Linked DNA regions of Drosophila melanogaster. The protein of the gene in region 2 purifies or fractionates together with the protein of the main gene of each other region. This does not show direct contact. Each region holds a gene or a part of one and is shown on either strand. Other genes may lie near its edges. The genes, in order: SmD1, SmD2 and pasha.

Region 1 (3,959 bases), on a different chromosome or scaffold from region 2:
ACGAACAAATATATACAAATTCCCGGCTCTGACCAGACTTCAAAGGAAAGCAATAGAGCTGTGAAGCTTGAGCAATTGTGAACTTGAGTTAAAAATATAAAATAAAAAATTGTGTTATCAAAAGACATTCCTAATTTAAATTTTAAGATTTAAAATTGGCGCCTTACTTTTAGCGGGTATCCGAACCCGAATAGCGATAATTGATCGGAGCAAGTTCCACAATTTGACATTTCGATATATTATCGGAACCGGTTCAACCTGCCTTTGAAAACTTAAACAAATCACTTATATTTTTTTGTCCTTAATAATGGGTTTTAAAGTGAGGGTTACTCCATTATCCCTATATCTATTGTTTCTTTTGATATGTTTTCCAATCCGTTACTTAAAGTAGAATCTCTTAAGTTAACCAGTTTTAAGGCGATGCCCATTTCATGGGTTTAACATTGTCGTTTGTTTCATTGTTCACCACGCATCCTAATGGCAGTAGTAAATATATTTGAATCTATAGCCTAGCTTAAGTAACACAGTTTTCTCCTACTATTGTTGAACATTTGAAAGACATTTTGTGCGTCCAAAAACAATTAAAAGTATAAAAAAGCGTTTTTACAAACTTTCAAACATTTTTAATCATAATTTAATGGCGGGAGTCTTCTTTCAATTTGTTGCCAAGTAAACACATTTTTCCTGAGCTACTACACAGAGTGATTTTTAACAATATACATATTCAGATGGAGTTTCTTTACTAGCTGAAGACATTTGTCAGTTGTTCGTACATAGTAAATGCATACAGTGTGGATTTATCCAAAGAATATTTATATTCTATATTTATCGAATATTGTTTATTAGATGTAGCTGTTACAAAGATTAACGTCGGCCTGAAGCTCGGCCCCTTCCGCGACCCCGTGGACCACCTCGTCCGCGGGCGCCTCTGCCCCTGCCGCGATTTCCCACGCGGCCGCTGTCCTTCTTTTTTGTCTTCGACTTCGGGGTGTCGTCGATGAGGAGCGTCTCCAGCGGCAGGCTGTCCGGCAGTATAAAGTATCTGATGTTGTTGCCGCGAATGCTCAGCGTCTCCAGGTGGACGGGATCCCGGTTCTTGATCGTCATCCGAACGCTCTTCAGGTGAGTGTTCATGGCCACATCCACGCCGGTAATGGTGCCGTGGATCTGGGTGCCGTTCTTCAGTTCGATGGTCACGGTCTCGTGACTTAGCTTCATAAGGAATCTGTAATGCATCAACGGGAAGATTAGTAAACGAAATTAAGGAAATCCCTGTTGCAAAGATGCAGCATTTCAGAGATGCAAGGCTATTATAGGTAGAAACAAATATCTTATTGGGTGATTGAAAAATGAGATACAATAAGGTGTATGCAAGCAGCCTTTATGATGAAATATACTTAGTAGAGCCTTTACTTTTAGCAAATTAGTACGAATTTAAAGGTAGCTTGTATTTGGTGGCCTTGGATTAAGAGCGTTGATTGCATTGAATATAGTTATGCAAAATGCTACTTAAAGTGCAAGAATTGTTACCAGATACAAGTAAATAATGGAAAACTATTATAATAACAGATCAAAACAACATTCGTATTAAATTAAATTTTGTGTACAAAAACAACAAATGGGAGCATCGCTTTTGCATGCATACATGTGTGCAGAATCGCAGAACTCAAAAACTGAATGAAACTATACTGCACGCATTGCTAACAAGTTTAGTTTTAGTTTAGGTAAATGACGCATAACATACCTTACTAATTTCATGTTTTTATGTGTTTTTGGTGGTTTTCTGCAAAAAAAAACGCGCACAAACAATGCCGGCTAGTTTACTTGGAATTTGGTGGTTGCGGTGAACTGTTGTATCGTGTGCTAAGATAGCAACGCTCATTGGTATTGTAAAATATATCGGCTACCAAACGGAATCGTAATAAAAGTGAATATGAAGTAATAAATGAATTAATGCATTCCAGAAATAAATTATAAATTTGCAACAATTAAGTAACAATTAATGTCATACTGCTCTATAAATAAATACTTGTGTCTTATTAATTACTCATGTTAATAAATACGATTACGATTATATTATTATAATATACGATTATATTCCAATTCAGTTGTTCCAAATCCCTTGGTAACCGCAGCCAAGGGTACATATTCGACTGACTTATCGATAACGCCGCATATCGCGAAAAAAAAACAATCCAGTGTTAAGAAAATAACGATTAATACTTATTCGCGGTCGCCGTCTATTAACTGGTTTTTAATAAAACACATTTGTCGGTGTTTTGCACTCGCCGCGACATTAGTTCAACGCAGTAGAGCTTTTTAACTCAACGCAGACATCGAATATAATTTTTGACATATGTATTTATCCGGCTCGGAGTGAGAAATTAGCAAGCCATGGCGTTACTCTACCGACGCATGTCGATGCTATTAAATATAATTCTTGCATATATTTTCCTTTGTGCGATATGTGTGCAAGGATCTGTGAAACAAGGTAATGTTTCAAAAACTCAGACGAACATCATAATTGGTACATACATACGTACATCAAGAACCGTTTGTGGGTGTCAACAAATTGCAATGTCTCATTTTTTTTTTGTGTTGTTTTTGCAAATGTGAATGGAGTGTTTTACATTAAGTTGGAAACTGGAATTATCATTTGATATGGTGGTTAACAAGACGGTTGTATAGTTCTTAGATACAGTAGCACTCGAACTATGTCGGTAACGCCCAAAGATTACGGCGATGGGGTGAGATTTCAATTGGGGCTAAACAAAAGTAGTCGCGCATACATATGTACACACTTCCCGGTACATACATACGTTTTATGTTTCTGCGTACATACTTATGTACATCTATCTGATTTATCTGAAATATAATCACATATATATATATTTGTAATATTTCTTCAGCTAAATACGTGTTGATTCCGAAATTACGCCGGATTACTACCGCGAGTTTTATGGCCAATATTGTGGGTGTAGTTTCATTTTTATGTCTGGCTTTTACCGCCCATCCAGAAAAACCTTTCTTGGTGTCCATCATAAAACTTAAAATTTAATAGGAAAGTTAAATAAGAAATTTTCCTTCAATATAGTTCTAATTTGAATATTTTACTAAATCGCATAAAACCCGGAAGCTATAATCAGATTTAAATATACACAACCATTAATCAGGAAGATATATTTTAAGTCTAACATATTTTTAGGCTGACAGAAGCATGTTGCTACTAGATCGGTGTAATTTCTATAATTACGTCTATATACAAAACTGATAATTATTTTAATGAAATTTATTTACAGAGTGGGCAGAAATAGGTAAAAACGTATCTCTAGAGTGCGCATCTGAAAACGAAGCAGTAGCATGGAAGCTGGGCAACCAAACTATTAATAAAAACCATACAAGGTTAGTAACTTATTGCACAAGCATCTAAAAATATTTCTGCCCCCATAAAGATGGAATAACATAATAATCTGATCATTTTTCGATCTTTTCAGATATAAAATAAGAACTGAGCCATTGAAATCCAACGACGATGGCAGTGAAAACAACGATAGTCAAGACTTCATCAAGTATAAGAATGTCCTGGCGCTTCTCGATGTCAATATAAAGGACTCGGGGAACTACACATGCACAGCCCAAACGGGGCAAAACCATTCGACTGAATTCCAAGTTAGGCCATACCTTCCATCCAAAGTCCTGCAAAGTACCCCCGATAGGATTAAGAGAAAAATCAAGCAGGATGTCATGTTGTACTGTTTGATCGAGATGTACCCACAAAATGAGACAACTAATAGAAACCTCAAGTGGCTTAAGGACGGCAGCCAGTTTGAATTCCTGGACACCTTCTCGTCCATTTCGAAGCTAAACGATACGCACTTAAACTTCACCCTGGAATTCACAGAAGTTTACAAGAAAGAGAATGGCACCTACAAGTGCACCGTCTTCGATGACACCGGACT
Region 2 (3,760 bases):
AAGCACACTAAAAAGATCCAAATATATAGAGGATATCTTTGTCTTAATAAATTGGATCCGAATAGTATGTACTCAACTACGTGCTTGCAGACCAGGTTAAAATATTTCAAACATTTAACACCCGAGCTTAATAGAAATCTAGATAAATATCTCGTCACAACTTTCTGATCAAAGGTCAGAAGGTAGCTAACTTAAAGTAAAGTAGCTGATAGATCGCAACAATGTAAAAATCAAGCAAATAACTGTGAAATCGTTCCTATTCAAGGTCACGTACAGCAACAACCTGGTGGCCAAGGATGGAGTGGAGCTAACGCCCACCCAGGTTAAGGATCAGCCAGTCGTGGAGTGGGACGCGCAGCCCGGGGAGTTCTACACGCTCATTATGACGGATCCCGATGCCCCCAGCCGAGCGGAGCCCAAGTTCCGCGAGTTCAAGCACTGGATTCTGGCCAACATCGCCGGCAACGACTTGGCAAGTGGTGAGCCCATCGCCGAGTACATTGGCTCCGGCCCGCCCCAGGGCACGGGTCTGCATCGCTACGTCTTCCTGCTGTACAAGCAGTCCGGCAAACTTGAGTTCGACGAGGAGCGCGTGAGCAAGAGATCCCGCAAGGATCGCCCCAAATTCAGTGCCGCCAAGTTTGCCATCAATCACGAGTTGGGCAATCCCATTGCTGGAACTTTCTACCAAGCCCAGTACGACGACTATGTTCCAAAACTGCACAAGCAACTTTCGGAGAATTGATTCCGTTTTAATCTTAAACAGATACTTTAGGAAAAATCGATTAAAAGATGTTAATCAAAATATAAGAAATTGCGATTACGGATTGTACTTTCGTTATACAAATTTATAATGGGATATGTTACTGGGATGGGATATTTTCCGTCGTAAATTATAGCTCACACTTTTAATTAATGGCACATTTTGGTCCACAGAACTTATTTGGTTGATTTACGGATTTATTAACTGAAGTTGATGGATATTGGTTGCTGTACGCTATCGCTATGGTAGACTACTTGCCGGCCGCCGTGGCCAGGGGATTCCTTAGGACCAGGATGACAGAATCGCCTCGCAGGAACATCTTCGATATGAACCGATCCTTGTTCACGGGCTTCACCTTCTTCTTGCCCTTACCGGTCCGCGGCAGCTCCGTCCACATCTCCTTCACGTTTTCCAGTACCATGTTGCAGTGCCGATCGAAGGCCTTTACCCTGCCCAGCAGCTTCTTGTTGTTGCGGCAGTTGATGAGCACCTGGGTGTTGTTCTTCACGGACTGCGTGAGCACGGACAGCGGGCCGGTGTTAAACTCCTCCTCCTCCTGCCGCGCCAGCTCCTCCGGGGTCAGCTCCGATTTCGGTTTCACAAGAGCCCTGCAGAGAACACAGTACATTAGTATTTCACCCACAACTCGAGCGTGGTGCTAACAATGCAAAATGCCGGCGCACATGCCGCTGCCAGTTACGCCATTTCCGATGGTTTGTCCCATCTGCCCCGGGATACTTACATAGCGGATTATAACTATGGCTTGTTAAATGATGTTGATAGTCTTCTTGTTTCGCTTCTCAGTTGGTTTTCTGCGTTTATTGTTGGCAAAAGTATTCAGCGCGGCTTCGTTTTTTTTGCAGTGTTACCAGCTCTGAGGACGTTTGCACTCGACCAGCCCTGAATTTCAAAGCTAACTATCGGCGTTTGGCATTCGCGTAAATTAAATAAACTATTATTTTGAAAAATCAAGCTCAATTTGAGTTTTTTATTAAAAAACTTATTAAAATATTCAATGTAAGAAGTGTAAACATATTTAAGACCATAGTTAAAACATTTTTGTGAAAAGTTGGTAATAGTGTTATCTAGTGTGCCAGCCTTGGTCACACTGCCTGGCACGAGTTCCGAATTGGGAGGAATTTATTTTGAAAATAAAAGTAACGAATGGAACCTGTGAAAGAGACGATGACCACTGTCAAGGCGGAGAAGCCGGTAACCACCACTTGCTCCTACTGGGTGTTACGCAAAAAGCGCCGCTGCAAGATGACTGCAAACAAGGGCAGTGAGTTTTGTGGAGCCCATGCCTCATCGGCAGCCACCACTGCAACTTGCGATGAAAAAGCTAGAGAAGATTCCTTCCAGGAACGTATTCCCTGCCCGCTTGATCACAAACATACCGTGTTTAAAAGAAAACTAGCCAAACACTTGACCATTTGCAATGCCAGGGATCAGGAAAGTTCACTGCCCTACATTGTAAAAGGAGTGAATTCTGGAGACAATCTTAAGGAAACAGACGAAGATTTGAACAAATTCAATCAAATAAAACTGCACGAACTGGCGGATGAAGAGTTCTACAGTCTGATCGACAAAGTTAAGAATCTGTATGACAAGCACATCAATTCCAGCATACAGGAACTGCAGCTGGAGCACGAATCCCTAAAGGAGGAACTTAGTCGCAAGGACTACGGCCAGGAAACGCTACGCCAGCTCACCCAGACCACTAGCTTGCTGGGCATCCTGGAACACGATCACCAGTTGATGGATCACACGAGCTATATAGAATTCGGAGCCGGAAAGGGACAATTGGCCTACTTTTTGGCCACCGTATTGCAGGAACAGAAGTTGAGTCACTCACAGGTGGTCCTCATCGATCGAATGTCCCTGCGGCACAAGAAGGACAACAAGTTGGCCAACAGGGAGGTGGTGCAACGTATCCGTGCTGATATCGCTGATCTTAAGCTTTCTGCTCTGCCGGAGCTAAAGAAAACCCAACGAACGGTGGCTTTTTCGAAGCACCTCTGTGGAGCAGCTACAGACTTGACCCTGAGATGTATACTCGGTGATGGAAATGCCAGCTCGGACTACGTTCTCATCGCCCTGTGTTGTCATCATCGCTGCTCCTGGCGCTCCTACGTGGGACGCAAGTTTCTTCAGGAAGCTGGAATTGGACCACGGGAGTTCGTTATCCTAACCAAAATGGTCAGTTGGGCAGTTTGTGGCACGGGCTTAAGCCGAGAGCGGCGTAAGGCCATGGAATCGGCTGACTTTCAGCTCACCGAGACGAACACGCAGCGTCTAACTCGCCAGGAGCGCGAACAAATTGGCCAACAGTGCAAGCGGGTTCTGGATTATGGACGACTGGAGCATCTACGATCCCACGGATATCAAGCAGAACTTAAGTTCTATGTTCCCAGGGATGTGACTTTGGAAAACGTGGTTCTGCTGGCCAGACCGACCAGCCCTAAGCTGGACCAAAATAAATGCTGTTGACTTAAGTAAAATGACTTTTCTCCTTCCTTAATTCATATCCTGCTCCTGGATTTAAATTTTTCATTATTTACTAAAAACTAGTGACGATCGCACCATCGCCATAAAAATGTTCTGATGTCATCTTTTGTGACGAAAAATATTTAACTAGGAAAATGCAATGTCATATTTTTATTTCGCTTTATTAAAATATTTATTAGCTAGGAAGACATTTTTATTGAAGCGGTCCGCATAGGTAATTTTTTTTAGTTGTAGAATTAATGTTTTTTATATCGAGCTATTTTGCACAATTTAAATGGTGTCATTACCATAAAATGTTCATGCAAAATTTATATATTGTTACAAAAAAGAGTTACGGAAATGTTGACAAATGACATAGCTTATTTTGAACTTATCTTTTACTATTTATTACATTTAAATTTACCAACATGAACAATATTTTGGAGAATCGGATTATTAGAAACCTATTTGAATTTAACTAAGCGTTTGTTAAATAGTCCCATATCCTTA
Region 3 (6,790 bases), about 25 Mb from region 2:
CAGTCCTTGTTGCTGCTACTGGCTTGCTCCTGCGTCCTGCGTCCTGCGTCCTCCGCCTTCTGCTGCTCCGGCGGCTGCTGCTTACCGATTCACTGGCTCTGACGGAAATTCCAATGGAATTTGGCATAATTTACATATCTCCGAGTGCTTGGGCCAAGCGGGCCAAATGCATTGGACACGGTGTACAGGAGTGCGTGTGTGTACCCGATTTTCCGTTTATTTTCCGAGTGCTCCGTCTTTCACCGAATATCCGCACTTTTTTCCCAGGCCCGATTTCTGGGCCGCTGGGCGAAAAATCAAAAACGGCGCGCGTGTCGTACCGCTTGCTACATCCACTGATTTGACGCGCGACCCACGCACTTGCAACACGCGACACACGAGCACCGGGAATCGAACGTCGAGAGTCGAGAATCGAGGAACTGGGGGGCTATGAAGTTGGTTTTTTTGGGGGCACCGAGGGATGAGGGGGCAACTAAGATGAATGTCAATAAAAATGATTCTGCTCTGCACTGCAGTTGGCCTTTTTTCAGCTGTACCACCGAATTCACCTCTTGGCTTTCTGTTTTTCTCCCCGTTTTTTTTTTCGGTCTGTCCCGAGTTACTGTGATTCAATTACAAATCCCAGACGAAAGTCCTGAGGATAGGAGCGCCGGGAAGTGGTTTTCTCGCCACGCGAAGAATCCGTACTGAAGATACAGATATGGCCTGCGAATTGGCAAGTCAGAACTCGCCACAATTCATCTCGCAGCATGGCTGCTGCGCAAAATCCGGGATCTGCGCCTGCGCCGCTCTCCCGCGCTCTCTCTCTCGGACTTTCTCTCTGCGACTGTCTCTCCGCATTCTCCGTGGTGGGTATGTGTGTGTGCCACGCTCGTTGGAATGCTATAAAAAAGGAAACGTTAGAATGAAATGAAAATGTAGCATAATTTATGACTGCATCGTCTTTTAAATAATTGCACGCACACACACCTACGAACCTACACCCTGCCCACCGCCTTAAATATTAACATCCACTCACCTAACGACCGACCGCCTAAAAACACCCGAGAATCCTAATGGCCATGTAAATATGCATTTTTTTATATTCCATACGACTTTTTAAAATGTCTTCCAAATTGGTTACGGGTCAATGGTGTTTGAACGTTCCAAGAATGAAAGCGATACGAGAAGATTTACGAGGAAATTTGATAAACAAATCATGAGCAAATAATTGTCCTGCTGTCTGCCCAAATGAATAGTTGTCAAATACTTAAGAACTCTACTTTTTTAATTGGTATTGCAGATAAAGATCTTAGACGAACATCTCTATACTCAAATATAAAGGACTGCGTTTTTAATAGTATTTTATTCAAGCTTATATTATACAAGTGAAATTGAACCCCTAATCTTAGCTATTGCAAGCATGAACTACTTATATTTGGCAAATTTAGTGATGAATTTACCTTAATGTAAAACCACTTGATAGGCAATTGTTCTTCATTTTTGGCCACTTGCTAAAGCCACTTCAGATTAACCAGCTCAGATAGATGAAGCCGATTTGAAATCAGTTCGTATGCCTCTAGAGAACGCGTCGTTGTTGTCATTAGCTTTTCGAATATGGAAATGGGTGGGTAACTAAGAGACTAGGAGGTTGTCATGCACTACTAGAGAATCAATGTTGGCGAGAGAGATGTGTGTTTCCCAATCAAAGTTCCACGTTGTTCAAATTGGACCCGGAGGAAGTGGGCAGATCGACGTCGCTTGGCGGCACAAAAGTGCCCATGGTTAGGACGCTCTCCTGCTTGGCACACAGTTTCAACATCTCGGATTTAAGTTTGTCCAGTATGGCGTAGTTGGGTTGGTTGACTGCCGCCTTGCTCTGCAGCACGGTGATCTCCTGCTCCTCCAGCTTCTTCTCCTTGAAGGTCTTTATGGAGTTGTTGCCGTAGAGGCGCAACAAGGAACCCCAGGTCTGGATGTGCGGATGCAAAATCTGACGAAAGGTTAACTCAATAGCTATAAGTAAAGTTATAAAGAAATATCAATGCTCACCTGGAGGATTGCTTGCGAAGCCAACTGCTTGCCCTCCCGCTTGTTTTTACACACCACTTTGGCAGTATGTTTGCCCACGGTCATGGTAAACTCGTTCTTGTTATTCGCGGTGCGGTTGATCTCCTGGCTGATCTGAACATCGCTGCCGTAGTTGCGCTGCAAGCAAGTCAGCAGAATGGCGTTGGGAGATGGCTCCGTCGTCTTGTTGCAGAATTCGGTGACTCGGGGATCTTCGATGCGGATGTCATCGAAAACCTGCAAGAAATATAAAAATAAGAAGTGGTTCCATTTTCTATAGGTAGATTGCTTACAGACAGATCGCTCTGCGCTTTCTTCGCAGTGCCGCTCTTTTGGTCCTTATTGTTGCCCGTTATCTTGTCCTTGACATCGGGAATGAGTATTTCCAGCGTTTCCCGAGCCGCCTCTGACTTGGCCTGCTTTTTACTGGTGCCATAGCCCGTGCCATACTTGAGATTGTTCACCGATACGGTGGCGGAGTAAGGCGTGGCTGCGTTTTGGAGCTCCTTGAACTCATAGGTGGGCTGCGTTTTCAGAGCATGCTGCACGTACTCGTGCAGGATGCAGACGAAGCTCTTGCCATTGGGATTCATGATCCACTCCTTCCGACCGCGCGGGTTCGTTGATCCTTCGCCAGCATTCGCTAGTATTGGGAACTTAATAAGCTTAGTGCCATCCGGCAGCGTGGGTCGTTGAATATTCTTGATGTGTTTGCGGTTTTTGGTGAACTTGCGGCGAGCATTCCAACTCCGAAATCGCAGCACACGAATCACCTTGAATTTGAAGAGTTTCTGGCAGTAGGTGTTTAGTTGCTCCGGTGTAATGGATTCCTTTTGGGTATTCTCGTTGACCGTAACAATTTTAGCAGCCGGCATAAGGGCAGTTATTCCATCTGGTTGGGTTTTGGAATCGGTGCTGCCTTCGTTGTTCTCTTTTCCCTCCACGTCCATGGCTTCGGCCGGTAAAGCGGAAGCTCCGGCCATGGGACATACAGCCACTGGCGGCGCTCCATCCGTCTTTTGTTGCTCCACCTCCGACTCTTCCTCCAAAGCCCGCCTGTAGTTAAGACAGGGGATTGCTCCCAAGGGCACTGCATGCTTGCGGGCACTTCCAGTGCCGAGAAAATAGGGCCTCGATGCGCAACAGACGCGAGTTTTGCGATGCAAGAAGAGCGGCATTCCACTGTTGTGGGTCACCTGCACCCATCCCTCGGGTAGGACTTCAAAGTGGTTGAGGCGCTTTTCTAAAAGAGTAGTCACATTAAAATACTCGTCATCTTGGACACTTGGTTCGACGAAAAGCACTGACCTTCCAGCACAGTCTTGAAACGCTGCTCGTATTTGGGCTGCTTTGACTCGCGGAGCTCTTCGGGCAGCTTCTCGTCCAGCAGATTCTCGATCTCGTCATCATCGAATTCCGAGGAATCGTATTCTTCGCCGTCACCATCAGCCGCCTCTTCCTCCTCGTCGCCTCCTTCTCCATACCTTCCGCCCTGCTGCTCGCTAGCGTTGTCTGGTTGCCATGTAAGGAGATACAATCACGGATAAATAAGTTGTCTGTTTGTCTGGGAAATGGAAAACCAGCCGCGAAGTTGATGGCCATCTTCACGGAATATTTGAATGAATGCCATTGGCACCTAATTGTCTAGCTCTTTGATGTTTAATTAAAGTGATCCTTCATTATTACTGGCTCTACCTGACGCAACTGGACAAGCCAGTCGGATAATGGGTATCATGCGCATGGAACTGTCCGCACAAAACTGCCACCACCTGCCTTACAATAAGATAAAGGAAAACTGAAGCTGCTATATCAGGGTTTAACCTGCCGGCTGACTCTTTTATCAGCCTCCTGTATTTGCACAATGATAGGCCCCCAAGATCTTGAGATAAGAACTGCGCCTGCACTGTGAAACAAAAGGTGGTAATTGCACAGCCTGTGATCTGGATGACCTGAGTGAATATCCGAGCTTCGTTTCCGACTCACCTGACTCATCATCCTCATCGCTGCCAGAGCCGACTTCGTCGAGAACCTGGAACTGTCGCAGTTGCTGGTCCATGGGTTCGTTCTGCAGCTCGTTGTCCCTGGTCCGCCGCATTTCCTCGATGGCGCTCAGCGAAAAGCCGGCCACCTTGAGCTCCTGCTCCTCGTCCTCCAGCCGGGGACGCTTGCGGACCTGCCCAGAGTCCGGGCAGTCGGCCAGCGGCTTCTCCGCCATTGTATTGGATGTGTGTGTCTAAAGCGGGAGGGGTTTAGTGCGGACTGATCGGAACTGTCTAGTAATGCTGTCCCGGGGCCAATCTCGCCAATAACCAATACTGAGAGCATCCAACGCCTTGCAATTGATTTCTCATTGGAAGTGCCACATTGGTTAAGCCAGAAGCCCCGCCGGAAAATTCTGCGACTGCACTTTCGCGGATTGTAAACGATGCTACTTGCTGCGTCTTTCGCTATGGATTCTGCCTAATTGTCGGACAAAATCCCAAAGCAAAAGCTGCGCAATTCAAGTACGAAATCGAGATTTTAGAGAGAGGATGTTAGTTGGGAAAAATAACCAAACAAGCGAAACAAACACCACATGCAGTTTTGCGGAAACAGATTGACACTTTTGAATTGGGGTTAGTGATGGTTCCAGGTATTATCCTCCGGAGAAGAACGTTTGGTCTTAGGATCTATTGTAACAGCAGCTCCAAGCACTTTTCTACTGATTTTGCAAGAAATTTTGCAATTTAAAGACGCCCCCTAATTTATTTAGTGCAAGACAGTGTGACCAGGCTCATGACATTTTAAAATGCTGGCTACTCCCCAAGCCGGTAAACAATGTTCGAATTTAGATTTTATTATATTTTAAAACATAAAAATAATGTAACTAAAAATTAGTGCGCAGCCTAAGTAAGGTAATCTCTATTGGCCATTTTGAAAAAATCAGTTTTTATTCAACACAGCCATATTTGAACATATTCCATTTTCGATTAATATTAAGTGCATTGAGTATTAATCCGAATATCAGATCGGGGATCCATTGATTTTTAGTACAGTTTATCCTAAGATCCACTTTTTCCTAGTAAAGCCTCATCCTTAGCCCCTGTCTGCATGCCGTTACTGGCCTTCACGTCCAGTTCCACAGGATTGTCCAGTGCCGCCTGGGCGCTTGAAGTGTGGGCGTGACCTTTTGAGCGATAGTGGGAGGTCAGGTGGGAGCGGCGAACGAAGGAGACTTGGCAGGAGTCGCAGCTGAAAAACAGATAAACAGAGTCAAGGATCCTCAATAAAACTTCAGGTAACTAAGATCTTACTGGAACGCTCGCACTCCGGTGTGACTCAGCATGTGCGTGCGGAGTTTTCCGCTCATGGCAAAGCTTTTATTGCATTCCTTGCACGTGAAGGGCTTGACATTCGTGTGGCGCCTGATGAAATGGAAAGTGGTCAGAAATATGTGAAAAGCATTAGACGTTTCATGAATGGGAACGAGTTCTGTCGTACATGCGTTCGTGCTGGATGCGTCCGCTGGCGTTGCTGTAGGTTGCCTCGCAGTAGCGACACTGAAACAAAGCATTCCCCGCATGCAGTTCTTGGTGGCGCCGCAGAAGCGTAGCAGTGTAGAACTGCTGGGAGCACTGGTCACAGGCAAAGCTCTTTACGCCGGTGTGTCGGAGGAGGTGCAACTTGAAGTTGCTGGGGCAGGTGAAGTGCCGGCCACACTGCTCGCATATGCAATCCCGCTTGCGTCGCTCCCGCTTTAGGGCCACCACTTCGTCCTCGGTGAGTCTGCTCCACTGGGTGCGCGTGGCCTGGCTATTGTCCGCAAACTTAACGGAGGTAAAGACTGTGGGCGTGGTCTTTGTACTTCTGCGGAGCTTCTTCTCCTGCGCAGGAACCTTCACTTGGGGCTGCTCGTTCTGCTCACATATTTCGTACGGCTCTTCCGTCTCTTCCAGCAGGTGTTCCTCGGGTAGAAGGTCTATAACCTCGATCTCGGTGACCTCTTCAGCGTACTGAATCTCCTTCTCCACACCAACTGCGAAGGATTCGATCAATTCCGCGTTCCCCAGGTTGGGACTTTCCTGCAGCGTTTTTTGGGTTCGAATCACACGTTCCCGGAAAGCAATCGCCGTCTGCAGGTCCAATTCGCAGGGTGAGCAAATAAAGGGGGGCAGCTCGTTCCCGGGTCCGCCGAGCAACTACGGATAATCCAGACTTAAGTTTGAAAACACAAAAATAGAAAGGTACTCACAAACAAACCAGTAAGAACCTCGATCTGGTGCAGCATTACGGAATTGGGCTCCTCGAAGAGGTTACTGGGCGTCGAACAGAAAATGAACAGGCCGCAAGTCCGGCAATTACGATTCGGCATTTTTAAACTTATTTATTTAGTAACACTTAAGAAAAAATTAATCAGAAAATTGCTCTGCTTTTCATATTGTTGCTCCTTTGGCAATGCCAGACTGTTATAGCTAAGAAGATGTGGCACCGCTGCCACAACATCGTAAGGGGGATTCCTGAACAGATCTTAATTTTTAATTCGATTGATTATTTGATATTACTTTATTTGATTACTCGCTTTTCTCCATTCGATTTAAGAGTTCATTTCAAAAATATTACCTTATTTGCAGTGCTTACGCAAAGAGAATTCCTTACAGTGTAGATTCAGGTGGCCACTATATAGCTTGAGCAGCTGATTGATGTAAACAAGCTTACAATAACAAATATTTCCAGATTGTAGAATATTCCTAAGTTTTTCCAA

What was found.
Region 1: the proteins of SmD2 (region 2) and SmD1 purify together in Drosophila melanogaster (affinity purification with western blotting; 2 studies listed by BioGRID, with this or other methods). This does not show direct contact.
Region 3: the proteins of SmD2 (region 2) and pasha purify together in Drosophila melanogaster (affinity purification with western blotting, with the first as the bait; one study listed by BioGRID). This does not show direct contact.

Annotation. Positions count from the first base shown.
Region 1 is NT_037436.4:12,732,759-12,736,717, forward strand, and holds SmD1 (small ribonucleoprotein particle protein SmD1), read right to left. Parts: upstream 1,854-3,959; 5' UTR 1,759-1,853; coding exon 1,745-1,758; intron 1,226-1,744; coding exon 865-1,225; 3' UTR 606-864; downstream 1-605. Other genes in the region: Ptp69D (protein tyrosine phosphatase 69D), read left to right, coding at 2,395-2,491, 3,300-3,402, 3,495-3,959. UniProt on the Drosophila melanogaster protein: Plays a role in pre-mRNA splicing as a core component of the spliceosomal U1, U2, U4 and U5 small nuclear ribonucleoproteins (snRNPs), the building blocks of the spliceosome.
Region 2 is NT_033777.3:6,344,266-6,348,025, forward strand, and holds SmD2 (small ribonucleoprotein particle protein SmD2), read right to left. Parts: upstream 1,647-3,760; 5' UTR 1,508-1,646; coding exon 1,506-1,507; intron 1,372-1,505; coding exon 1,014-1,371; 3' UTR 746-1,013; downstream 1-745. Other genes in the region: CG17919 (uncharacterized protein), read left to right, coding at 266-745; CG18048 (uncharacterized protein), read left to right, coding at 1,928-3,253.
Region 3 is NT_033777.3:31,616,012-31,622,801, reverse strand, and holds pasha (partner of drosha), read right to left. Parts: upstream 4,375-6,790; 5' UTR 4,265-4,374; coding exon 4,033-4,264; intron 3,814-4,032; exon of another isoform or gene 3,791-3,813; coding exon of another isoform or gene 3,745-3,790; intron 3,562-3,744; coding exon 3,358-3,561; intron 3,293-3,357; coding exon 2,343-3,292; intron 2,287-2,342; coding exon 2,032-2,286; intron 1,973-2,031; coding exon 1,685-1,972; 3' UTR 1,443-1,684; exon of another isoform or gene 1,328-1,442; intron 883-1,327; 3' UTR 585-882; downstream 1-584. Other genes in the region: CG1792 (uncharacterized protein), read right to left, coding at 5,091-5,280, 5,343-5,453, 5,530-6,227, 6,281-6,400.